Linked DNA regions of Cricetulus griseus. The protein of the gene in region 1 binds, or shares a complex with, the protein of each later gene. Links are inferred from orthologs where the notes say so. Each region holds a gene or a part of one and is shown in the gene's direction. Other genes may lie near its edges.

The links.
Region 2: the proteins of Orc2 (region 1) and Orc5 are in contact, whole or in part, in a cryo-EM structure (PDB 7JPO), measured with the Homo sapiens proteins. The link is inferred for Cricetulus griseus from reciprocal best matches to the Homo sapiens genes ORC2 and ORC5. Residues at the interface, in NP_006181.1 of Homo sapiens: Val240, Glu241, Tyr243, Phe244, Glu245, Ser248, Asp396, Gln398, Arg401, Gly402, Glu403, His426, Asn428, Ala429, Pro430, Leu431, Met432, Trp433, Asp434, His435, Gln438, Trp445; in NP_002544.1 of Homo sapiens: Asp324, Lys325, Phe328, Leu329, Leu359, Asp360, Arg361, Ala364, Tyr367, Ser368, Ala378, Asn379, Phe381, Ser382, Gln383, Thr385, Ser386, Thr389, Asp400, Gln401, Leu402, Asp403, Tyr407.
Region 3: the proteins of Orc2 (region 1) and Lrwd1 are in contact, whole or in part, in a crystal structure (PDB 8SIU), measured with the Rattus norvegicus proteins. The link is inferred for Cricetulus griseus from reciprocal best matches to the Homo sapiens genes ORC2 and LRWD1. Residues at the interface, in NP_001012003.1 of Rattus norvegicus: Val11, Pro12, Ser13, Val14, Gln15, Phe16, Val17, Gly18, Asp19, Val22, Leu23, Ser24, His25, Ile26, Leu27, Asp28; in XP_038945348.1 of Rattus norvegicus: Pro262, Leu263, His264, Phe265, Leu266, Gln267, Cys268, Ser270, Asn273, Ser274, Pro275, Leu320, Val321, Leu322, His323, Lys324, Tyr325, Lys326, Leu367, Val369, Gly372, Phe373, Cys374, Pro596, Pro598, Val599, Ala600, Val605, Ile630.

What each region holds. Positions count from the first base shown.
Region 1 is NC_048595.1:412,887,909-412,892,268, reverse strand, and holds the start of Orc2 (origin recognition complex subunit 2), read left to right. Parts: upstream 1-1,484; 5' UTR 1,485-1,522; intron 1,523-2,182; 5' UTR 2,183-2,192; coding exon 2,193-2,286; intron 2,287-3,294; coding exon 3,295-3,438; intron 3,439-4,360. UniProt on the Homo sapiens protein: Component of the origin recognition complex (ORC) that binds origins of replication. DNA-binding is ATP-dependent. The specific DNA sequences that define origins of replication have not been identified yet.
Region 2 is NW_023276806.1:171,948,997-171,952,634, forward strand, and holds part of Orc5 (origin recognition complex subunit 5), read left to right. Parts: intron 1-1,093; coding exon 1,094-1,142; intron 1,143-1,236; coding exon 1,237-1,327; intron 1,328-3,510; coding exon 3,511-3,563; intron 3,564-3,638. UniProt on the Homo sapiens protein: Component of the origin recognition complex (ORC) that binds origins of replication. DNA-binding is ATP-dependent. The specific DNA sequences that define origins of replication have not been identified yet.
Region 3 is NC_048597.1:115,118,671-115,121,988, reverse strand, and holds part of Lrwd1 (leucine-rich repeat and WD repeat-containing protein 1), read left to right. Parts: intron 1-116; coding exon 117-257; intron 258-506; coding exon 507-611; intron 612-1,129; coding exon 1,130-1,252; intron 1,253-1,332; coding exon 1,333-1,447; intron 1,448-2,125; coding exon 2,126-2,235; intron 2,236-2,452; coding exon 2,453-2,660; intron 2,661-3,153; coding exon 3,154-3,226; intron 3,227-3,317; coding exon 3,318-3,318. UniProt on the Homo sapiens protein: Required for G1/S transition. Recruits and stabilizes the origin recognition complex (ORC) onto chromatin during G1 to establish pre-replication complex (preRC) and to heterochromatic sites in post-replicated cells.

The sequences.
Region 1 (4,360 bases):
AGAGAAAATTGCCTGTGATAATATTTAGTTACCTAAAATATTTTTATAAAAGTTTTTGAAAATTCACTCTCAAAAATTATTTAGCTTTGCTAATGAAAATTATGTACAAGTCTTCTTCTGTCATGTCCCCCTCCCCTTTCTCTCCTCTTCTTGCCCTGAAGTTCAGAGCCAAATGTTTTGTTTTATGACGACATGCTATAAATAGTTTTCAGAGAGCAGAACAAGCAATTAGGGCAGGATTTTTATTCAGTGGCATGAAATGTTTTGCAAGGTAGCAAGGTAAAGAGAAAGGAACAAGCTATATAATCAAGTGATCAGGAATTTAGCAATCAGTTAAAACTGATTTTTTTTTTTTTTTTTTTTTTTCGGGACAAGGTTTCTCTGTGGCTTTGGAGGCTGTCCTGGAACTAGCTCTTGTAGACCAGGATGGTCTTGAACTCACAGAGATCCACCTGCCTCTGCCTCCCGAGTGCTGGGATTAAAAGTGTGCGCCACCAACGCCCGGCTAAAACTGATTTCTAATTGTGTGAATTTTAATGATTCATTTAATATTTAGCTGACAGCTTATTTATAGAGTAATTACACACATACACAAATATGTTCTTGAGTCTTATTAATTTCTGGTGTATCTAAAGGTACCTGATACAGTATCTTACATATAGTTCCTACCAAAAATAAAACCCTTTTCTTTTTTTTTTTTTTTCTTTTCGAGACAGGGTTTCTCTGTGTAGCTTTGGAGCCTATCCTGGCATTCGCTCTGGAGACCAGGCTGGCCTCAAACTCACAGAGATCCGCCTGCCTCTATTTCCCTAGTGTTGGGATTAAAAGTGTGTGCCACCAATGCCCGGCTCAAAAATCCCTTTTCATTCAAGTATAAATTATTAGTTTCTTCATACAGGTCTATGTAGATGCATTACACATTTTCTTTAATGTACTTGGATTCTCCGGAACAGAAAGCATCGATATGGCTATAAAATGACCCAAGAAGGACATGCTTTACTGGATGTGGTTGTGACTCTGTGGATGACATATTTGTTTTTTTTGCTACAAAGTGTAACTTCTTGAAGCTCTGAAGGGTAAATTGGAATAATGTAAAGAGGTGGGCTTGGTGGCAATTGCTTATGTTTCTAGCACTTGAGAGGCAGAGCAGGAGAATTTTGAGTTCAAGGCTTGCCTTGGCTACATAACAAGACTATTTCACTACAACAGAACACAAAGTACTGAAAACTATATGTAGCTTATAGTAAGTGCTTAGCTTTCTCCTCTGGCCTACCTCTTGCCAGTCTAAATGCTTTTCTCAGTCTTGGTTTCTTTAGCCTGTTACTATTTTGTCCTCTTTGTGCCATCATAGTAGCTTTAGTTTCTTGGAGGACAGTTATCTACACATCATGTTGTTAAAATGCTTGACTTTGTGGGTGGGGTTACCCTGGTTGCTTTCCCATTACCTATTAGCTGATCTTGACTGACTTCTAGTTACAGGTGACTGAATTTGCAAGCTGCAGAATGCATAGCACCTTACAAGGTAAATGAAAAAGGCCACTTAATTGTACTGTTTTTTTTTTTTTAATTTTCCTTTATTTCAGCAGTTTTTCAGGTTTTTTTTTTTTTTAAAGATATTTATTTATTATGTATACAGTCTTCTGCCTGCATGCCAGCGGAGGACACCAGATGTCATCCAAAGTGGTTGTTAGCCACCATGTGGTTGCTGGGAATTGAACTCAGGACCTCTGGAAGAACATTCAGTGCTCTTAGCCTCTGAGCCATCTCTCCAGCCCCAATTGTACTGGTTATTAAACAAAAATTTGCAACATTTGTTATCTATAATTTTAACATTTGTTAGCTATCTGTAATAAGTAAGATAGTGAGAGATAGTCATTAGGTTTTTTTGTTGTTGTTGTTGCTAATTTGTTTTTTTTGCTAGAAGAAAAGGCAAAAATGGGATTTATGAATGCATGTCCTAGCTTGATTTCCTGTTGCTGTGGTAAAGAATGTGACCAAAAGCAATTTGAGAAGGAAAGAACTTGGCTTCCATGTCCCAGTTAGAAGCCATCATTGAAGGATATACTAATACATAGTGCATAGTATGATTCTACCTTTAAAAATATTAAGTAAATATCTGTATTTATTTCACAAATGTTTATTTGGTATGAATTCTTCATCACATTGACTTACTACTTTTTAGGTTGGCCATAATGAGCACACTGCAGTTAAAGGAAGCTAAGGTGCTGGATGTTCAATTTGTGGGAGATGATAATGTTCTCAATCACATTTTTGATAGAGAAGGAGGTATGTATGATTGTACAGTTGAAGAGATGCTTATGATCACATCTTTGTTGTTGTTGTTGTTTTCCCGAACCAGGGTTTCTCTGTGTGGCCCTGGCTGTCCTGGAACTCGCTCTGTAGACCAGACTGGCCACAAACTCACAGAGACCCACCTGCCTCTGCCTGTGAGTGCTGGGATGAAATGATTTGTGGTGGTAGAAAATGATTGCCCACTAACCCCAAAACCACAAATTAACACTTTCAAGGGGGTGTGTGTTTAACTTAATTGTTTATTTCTTCTTCTTCTTCCTCCTCTTCCTCCTCCTCCTCCTCCTCTTCCTCACCCCCCCCCCCCCCCCCGTATGTCTGTATACCACATATGTGCTTGGTGCCCAGAACAACACATTGGATACCCTACAGCTAGAATTACATACAGTTGTGAGCCACCATATGGGTGCTAGGGACTGAACCCAGATCCTCTATTAGAGCATCAAGTGCTCTTAGAGCACACCTTAGAGATGTTGAGTCATCTCTCCAGCCTCTGACTTAGTATCTTTAATGAAAGGAAAAACATTGGCTTCTCTCAGTTTTACGTACTAATCATGCATTTAGTGAGGTTTGTCTACTGACATATGTAACATGCACATGGTGGTCAGAGGAGAACTCTCTGGAAATGGTTCTCTTCTTCCCCTTGTATTCCGTCAGGCTGGTATGGCCCACAGTTTATCTGCCGAACCATCTGGATGGCTCTAATGAAATGTTTAGAAAGATTTCACAACAGTCAATGGTAGCGCATGCCTTTAATCCCAGCTTTCAAGAGGCAGAGGCAGATGGCTCTCTCTGTGAGTTCTAGACCATCCTGGTCTACAGAAAGAGTTTCAGGACAACCAGAACTGTGAACTCCTGCCTCAAAAAAAATATGTGTGTGTGTGTGTGTGTGTGTGTGTGTGTGTGTGTGTGTGTGTGTAGGTGTGTAATTAATAAAAAGATATTCATACCTTTAATTTTCATACCTTTTGTGTATTTTTATAGGAACTAAATTAAAGAAGGAGAAAGCTCAGCTTTTGGTTAATCCCCAGAAAATAATAAAGAAGCCAGAATGTGAATTGGAGAAGAGTGACCAAGAAGTCTTAAAGGATCAGAACTATGTGGAAGTTTTGGGAAGAAATATTCAAGGTATTCAATGAGGGTAACATACACTAAGCTTTTGGCTAGTAGCATGAACTGCTTGCTTTTCAGGATGTACAAAAATAACTTGGTAGCCTAGAAAGTGGTATACTATAATTGTGTGTCGAATCTAAAAGCATTCCCTTTGTTTGCTATTGTTGCATTTTTTAAAGTTTAGTTTTTTCATTTTGTTTGTATATGAGTGCAAGTGCCCTTGGAGCCAGAAGAGGGCATTAGCTGGGGTTACAAGTTCCCAAAGCAGCACTGGGAACTGAACTCAGGCTTCTATTGAACCATCTCTCCAGCCCCCAGCAGGTTTTTTTGTTTTTGTTTTTGTTTTGTTTTTTTTTTTTTAATAAAAGAGAAGTAACCAGTGCTTGAGTCCTTGGTCTGTGACCCAATGCAGCCTCCTGAATAGTTGGGATTATAGGCATGTCTCATCATGCCACATATAGGCATGTAATTGTATTTAGAGGAGAAAAGGTGTTAAGTTCCCTGATTCAGAGGCTTCAGTCCATGGTTGCTGGTCTGGTGTTCTTGGGCAGAACATCATGTGGGTTGGTAGCCTGTGCAGGAGAGCTGTTCATGGAGACAGGGAGCCGAGGATAGTCACATTACAGATTAGGTCTCTTTACTGTTACTTTGATCCTCTTTTTAAAATAGAAGGAAAATTCAAGGAGGTAGTGTTGCTCTCACCTAGGCATGCTCACAGTGTTGTTTTGGTTTGGTATGGTTGTTTTTTTTTGTTTGTTTGTTTTTGTTTTTGTTTTTTTGAGATGGGAGCCTTTTGACATAGCCCTACTGTCCTGGAACTCTCTCTGTAGACCAGGCTAGCCTCTAACTCACTGAGATCCTCCTGCCTCTGCCTCCTGAGTGCTGGGATCAATTTTAGCTTTTTGTTTGTTTGTTTTTTGGGACAGGGTTTCTCTCT
Region 2 (3,638 bases), on another chromosome or scaffold:
TGGAAAGGATCAGGAGGTGTGGTTTTGTTGGAAGAGGTTTGCCACTGGGGGCAGGTTTTGAGATTCTAAAAAGCCCCAGCTAGCTCTCTCCACCTCCTACTTGCAGATAACTGTGTCTGCCAAGCCTGCTGTCATGTTCCCCGTGTGAGCCCCAAGGCAAATGCTTTAGTTGGCCTGACCCATTAATAGAAAGTTAAGTAAGCTGAAATACTAATACAAAGTAGTAGAAATTTGCTGATATTTGAGAACTAAATGTAGGAGAAATGGGCATGATATTGGAGAGCCGTGCAGAATTTGGCTGGGCTATTAACTGGCTTTGTTAAGATGAAGCATTAGTATTAATTAGTTCAGTGCTTAGGTCTGAAAATCTAAAATTAATGCAAGAAGTTGGCTGTGCTATATAGCTCTCTTTTATTCCCTTCTCTTTGCAACTACTTGCAGTACTTATTGTCCTCTGAATTTGAATTTATACTATTACTATGTCTGACTCCTCTCTAGGCTTCATTATTAAATCATTGCATCATAAAATACTTGAGTTCAGATTCGTGTTAGTAAGTGACATTTTTGTGTATAAATACATTTTACTAATTCACTAAAACTGATTTCAGTAGGATTCTAGTATGGAAAGTATTAAGTAGTTGTGATTAATTAGTTTTCCTCACACTTCTTAATGCATAGAATTCCTGAAGAGATTGTTAAAACACGTAGTAGATTTGGGTCTTATCCCTAAATTGAGTTATCCTTAATTAGGTGATGCTTGGTTTATGATGGTATTCACATGCTGGAAAGTAGCAGTTAATTGTCTAGCTTTGATCTTTTTATTAAACATCATTATGGCTAAGAGTACAAATTAATGCCTTATCATTTATATGAGACTAATGTATTAAGTAGGATTTAACCAGCAGTGTGTATGCTGTTGTACTAACATTATTGATATTTTTGTTGCTTTATTGCAGTAATAAGTTAGAATTAGCCTGTACTTAAATACTGATTTTAAATAAAATTGCTTAATTTGTAATAAAACATTTTATGTGAAAAATTCCTAACTATAATCTTTGTCCTGCTTTTTTGTCTTCTCGTTTTAAATTTATAGGCAGTGCTTAATTTTCCCAAATATTGTGAACCTGTAGTTAAAGGAGAAGGTAACTAACTATAATTATTAATATTTCATTATATTGTTATTAGATTAATTATGTTATACACGATTTAATTATTGAAATTCTTTTCCTGGAGTAGCAGGTGAACGCGATACTCGAAAACTGTGGAGAAATATTGAGCCTCACCTGAAGAAAGCAATGCAGACCGTTTATCTCAGGGAGATATCAAGGTAATTATGTTTCTAGCATGTTAGATAGCATTTATCCGAAGTGGGTTACAGACATCAGGTTTGTGGTTTTGAATGTTTGTATAGAATTTGCTGATTAAGCTCCCTAATCCAAATCTAAGCTCTAGAATATTTCAAATTTGTAAACTATTTAATTTCATATCACAGCTGTTGTTCAGTGAAACTAAAGGATACACGTTCTCCTTTCCTTCCCCGAATTAAGTATGTAGAAAGAGAAGATTCAGCCGCAGCTATAATTGGACCTCATGGAGACAGGAAATGTGGGTTGTATGAGGTTCAGCACTAGAGTGAAGAAAACATGGTAAATGAAGACGACCTGCTTTCATGCACTGGAAGTGTCCACTGTCCCGGTTATCAGAGGGTCCTTTCCGAGACTCAGCTAGAATGCTGCATTCTTTTTTTTTTTTTTTTTCCCACTTATATTTTTATTTTGATCTATTCCTTGAGTAAAAAAAAAAACCTTATAGTGGCTGGACAAAAGGCTCAGTGAGTAAAAGTTCATGCTGCCAAGCCTTATGACATGGGACTGACCCTACTGTAGAATGCTGCATTCTAATAGATCACCACAGACACAGAGATTAAAACAATGTGTTTTCTTAGAGGATACATTCCTGCAGCTTCTGGTAGTTGCTGTATTCATCAGATTGTGGCTCTAAGTCTGCAGCCAAGCACTATCTCTTCTACCTGACCTCATCTCCTGCTGGAAGGGGTTTATTGATTTCACTGGGACTACTGGAGTAAGAGAAATTTTCTGTCTCAGGATCTGACTCAGCCACATCTGCTAAGGCCTTTTTCCCCACAAAAGGCAGCTTAATTACTTTATAGCAGCTTTGAAAGAAGCATTATTAAGTCTGCTATTGAGACTTGTAAACTGTTTAAACGGAAAAAAAAGGAAAGCACCTCTAGTATTCCAAGCAAAAAATCACTTACAAAAGCAAGTCAATAAAACCTGCAAATTGATGAGCATTTTCAAGAAAGTCAAAGAGAAGTGAAGCCAAATATTTATCTTTTCAACCTGTCAATCATGTATCAAAGCTGTAGAAAACAGGTTAAGCAGAATTAAATGGAGAACACTATTCATAAGGCATCTCTGAGCAATCTGCTAGTGACAGTCTTGGCATGACTGTGATAATATGGAAATTCTAGCCAAAAGACTATGGTAAACACTGAGTTTAACTTTGTCTCTAAATGATGTCAAACAGTATGCCAGTATACATTGCTTGCTGGATAAGCTGGAGATAGAACTTCAGAACAGTAGCGAGAGGACCCGCATGGTGGTCCATGCTTTGAATCTCAGCACTAAGGTGGCAGAGGCAGACAGATTTCTGTGAATTTGAGGACAGCCTGGTCTATAAAGTAAATTCCAGGCCACTACCTAGTGAGCACCCCACCCTGAAAAAAGAAGCAAGAGAAGTGGCGTGGGGAAGAACGTCTTGCCCTGAAGAAACAAGAGACAAATACATCAAAAGCTGAAGCTGTTACCCAACAGTGTACTCAAACACCTTTCTTCATCCTTCTAGCCTGGGCCTAACCACCTGTAGAGTTTCTGATTTTTCTTCCCTCTCTCTTTTGAAAAATAGGGATTTTGATAAATATGGATTCATATTTGGCTGTTTTTTGTTGTTGTTTTATTTTTTTTGGGTTTTTTGGGTTTTTTTTGTTTTGTTTTGTTTTTTGGCTTTTTGAGACAGGGTTTCTCTATGTAGCTTTGGAGCCTATCCTGGCACTTGCTCTGGAGACCAGGCTGGCCTCGAATTCACAGAGATCCGCCTGCCTCTGCCTCCTGAGTGCTGGGATTAAAGGCGTGCGCTACCAACGCCGGCCAACTGTGTTCTTGAAGGTCTCAGTGTTCTGATCATACATACTTCAGTTGATTACAGACTAGAATTGATGTGCAGTTGTATTCCATACAGTGATTAGAACTGCTGGGAGCTTATTGTAATCAGAGTGAAAAAGATAACTAAAAAATTAACACCTGAGCATTTTGTTACATTGTTAATATATTTCAAATGATTTTGTACAGGTAAAAACATGTACACGCGTATGTAAATTTTATTTTTCTATTTTCTGACTTAGATGAGAATATGTTCTGTGGGGCTCTTTTTACTAAAGGATATTGATTTCTTATATTTTCAATCTATTTTTCCTTTTTTGTTTTATTTTAGTTCCCAGTGGGAAAAGTTACAGAAAGATGACACAGACCCAGGACAGCTAAAAGGTATCAAATACAATACTGAGAATTACCAGGGGAACTGTTTAAACTATTATAAAATAGTGGTTAGTGATAAAGAGT
Region 3 (3,318 bases), on another chromosome or scaffold:
CAGAAGCTCAGATAGGTGCTCAGAAGGACAACTTGTGCTCAGAAGGATGTAGGGTGAAGGTACTGTGTATGGCCAGGGGACTGGGGCTGGGTCTGGATCTGGTCCCTTTTTGGCAGGTCACAGCTCACTGGGAGAAGTTCATGGCCACCGTGAACCCTGAAGAGGAAGCTGACAAATTCCAGACTGACTTCGTGACATCTGCCATCAGGGACGTGCATTATGGCCCTGAGTCTCTCAGCGAGTTCACCCAGTGGCGGGTATGTCACTAATGAGGGACACTATGCGGGAGTTGGCTTCCCTGGCTCTAGGTTGTCCTAGAGAAGTCCCTGGCTCTATGGATTGGGGGACAGTGGTGAATGGGATGGGTCAGGGAATGGTGGCCCTTGTGCCTAGGGAGGCCCTTTTCCTACTTTGAGAGGCACAAGCTCCTGGTGGCAAGGTGTCTGGGGAGAGGATAAGGGCACCTGAGACTGTGCTCAGCCTGCTGACGGCCTGGCCCTACCCAGGTGCAGATGATCGCTGAGAAACTGGTGGCCTCAGGTGGGGCCCAGGTGCAGGAAGCTGACATACGAAAGGAGCCGCCACAGGCTGCAGCTGCCTCCAAGCCCAGGGTGAGTGTGTTTCCACAGGGCTGTGAGGGCCACAGGCCTTTCTGAGCTAGACCAGAGAGGGGCCTCCACATGAACTCAGGTGATGGTAGTCAGCCTGCCCTCGCTGTGACAAAATACCCAGAGTAACTAGCCTACTGGAAGGAAAGGTTAGTTTGGGTTTGTGGTTTCAGTCCATAGTTGCTTGGCCCAAGGCTGTTTGTATTGTGAGCTCACACAGCAAGGATGTCTGTGAATCTCATGATAGCTGGTATCCCAGTGTCCCCTTCAAAGGGAAGCCTCCCAGTGACCTAAGTCCCTTCACCTACACTGTACTTTTGAGTAGCCCCATAGACTGGTGACCCAGCTTTTTAAACTTTGGGCCCTTGGAGAACATTTTAAATGTTCAGCCCTAACACAGACCAAGTTCCCCCTGTGACAGTAGCTCAGTTCTTGCTTTACATACTTTTGAGGGTGTAGTTAAGCCTGTAGCCACGGGAGAAACCCTCTGGGGCACGGGCGCACGTTCCCTCCTTCCACAGTGCAGAGCGGTGGCCTCCAAGCGGCCAGATAATGTCCCACTCGACCTCCCTTCCATCAAGCGAGTGTGTTCCTCCCCAGCAGCCAAGACAGAGGACAAACCTGTGGACTCTGATGGAGGGCAGGTAAGCTCCCCAGATGGCAGGGGGAGTGTGCCAGAGAGGGAGCAAGCCAGGGGCAACTATAACCACCTGTGCCCCCACAGGCTGCCCTACACCTGGAACCCCTGCACTTCCTGCAGTGCCATAGCAGAAACAACAGCCCTAAGGACCTGGAGACCCAGCTGTGGGCCTGTGCCTTTGAGCCTGCCAGGGAGGAGGGTACACACTGGGGCCCACGGGCAGTGGGAGGCTTGGGTCACACAGTGGTACTCAGTGGCAGTCAGATTAAAAGATCCTTGAGGAATTCAGTGAGATTGTTTTTAGGGTAGAAAGGGATGGAAGTGGGTGGCGGTGGCGCACGCCTTTAATCCCAGCACTCTGGAGCAGATGCAGGAGAATCTCTGAGTTCAAGGCCAGCATGGTCTACAGAGCGAGTTCCAGGACAGCCAAAGGCTCCACAGAGAAACCTTGTCTCAAAAAAACAAAAACAAATCAAGGGTTGGAGACAGCTGACTGGCTAAGAGTGCTTGCTGCTTTTGTAGAGGGCTGAAGTTTGGTTCCCAGCTTCTACCATGGACAGCTCACAATTGCCAGTAACGCCAGCTCCCAGGAATTTAATGCCCTCTTCCGGCCTCCATGAGTACCTGCACTTATGTGCATACACCCCACGTGACACACATACATAACCATGCACTATTTGTTTAAAAGGTAAAAAGGCCATGGGAGTAGTACAGTGGTAGAGCACTTGTCTATCGTGTGAGGCCCTGGGTTCTATCCCCTGTCCAACAAATAATACTGTTATAATTTTTATTAATAAATGTCATGGAGGCCTGGAAGAGAGACTATAGGGAAGCACTTTACAGAAAAGTTGTTTATGTGGCTGATACCATAAAACAGGACACTCGGGGGCCACATCACAGACTGTGGCCACATGTGGTGGAGAGGCTGTTTGCGTGATAGACTGCCAGACAGGCATCGTTCTCCATAAATACAAGGTACCAGGCGAGGTGAGTGCCAGGGTCCTCTTCCTGAAGACTGCTGGGTCCAAGCTAAGCTCTCTATTTCCTGCAACTGCTCTGCCTCTGAGCCCTTTCCCTGGCTCCGCAGCCACCCACAGCCCTCCTGGGGGCTTTTCTTTGTTGGGCCTTACTGCCCCAGGCTAGCCCTCCAAGCAGGCTGCCACTTGTTCCTGCTCACGACCATTTCCTCCTTCCCACCCTTCAGGAGTTCTTCTCGGTGGCCTGGACAGCCCTGACGGTGGTCACCCAGGCAGGACACAAGAAGCGCTGGAACATGCTGGCAGCTGCAGGCCTCCGGGGCATGATCCGGCTGCTCCATGTGCGTGCAGGCTTTTGCTGCAGCGTCATCCGAGCCCATAAGAAGGCCATTGCCACCCTCTGCTTCAGCCCCACCCACGAGACCCACCTCTTCAGTAAGACCCTCACCTCTGAACTTTATCAGCACTGTAGTCTTTCTGCCCTGCTGTCCTGGGTCTCTTTTCTGGGGTGACAAGGCTCACAGGATGCTGGGCCCAGATGGCTTTAGTCAGAAGTGAGGTAGCTTCTTGACCAACCAGGATCTCCATTCCAGCATGCTATGCAGCCTTGACGTTTCCTAGCAACTTGGGCTCCTTGCTTCTACTCTGCCTGGGACCAAGGGAGATAACCCTGCCCCTTGGGTATGGTGAGCCCAACGAAGGAGCCAGATGTGCTACAAAGACGGCTATGATGCTGTGCACACTGGGCTCAGACAGGACTGGGGATTGTGGCCCCGAGTTCTTGTCCTAGCCGCAGTCTGCTGCCCTTTCTGCCTGCTTCTGATTAAGCTAGTTGAGGGACCCAACTCACAGATTCAACCTGCAAGAGGGGGCGGGATCTTCTGAGGGCTACCCTCTTCCCTCCATCCCCCAACCCCCCCCCCCACAGCTGCCTCTTACGACAAACGGATCATCCTCTGGGACATTGGGGTGCCCAACCATGAATACCAGTTCCAGGCTAGGTGAGGCTGTGGACCAGGCTGGAGAGGGGCGGACTGCTAAGGGTGATGTTCATGGCCCACAGCTCATGGTTTCCCACACCCGTGTTGGCAGC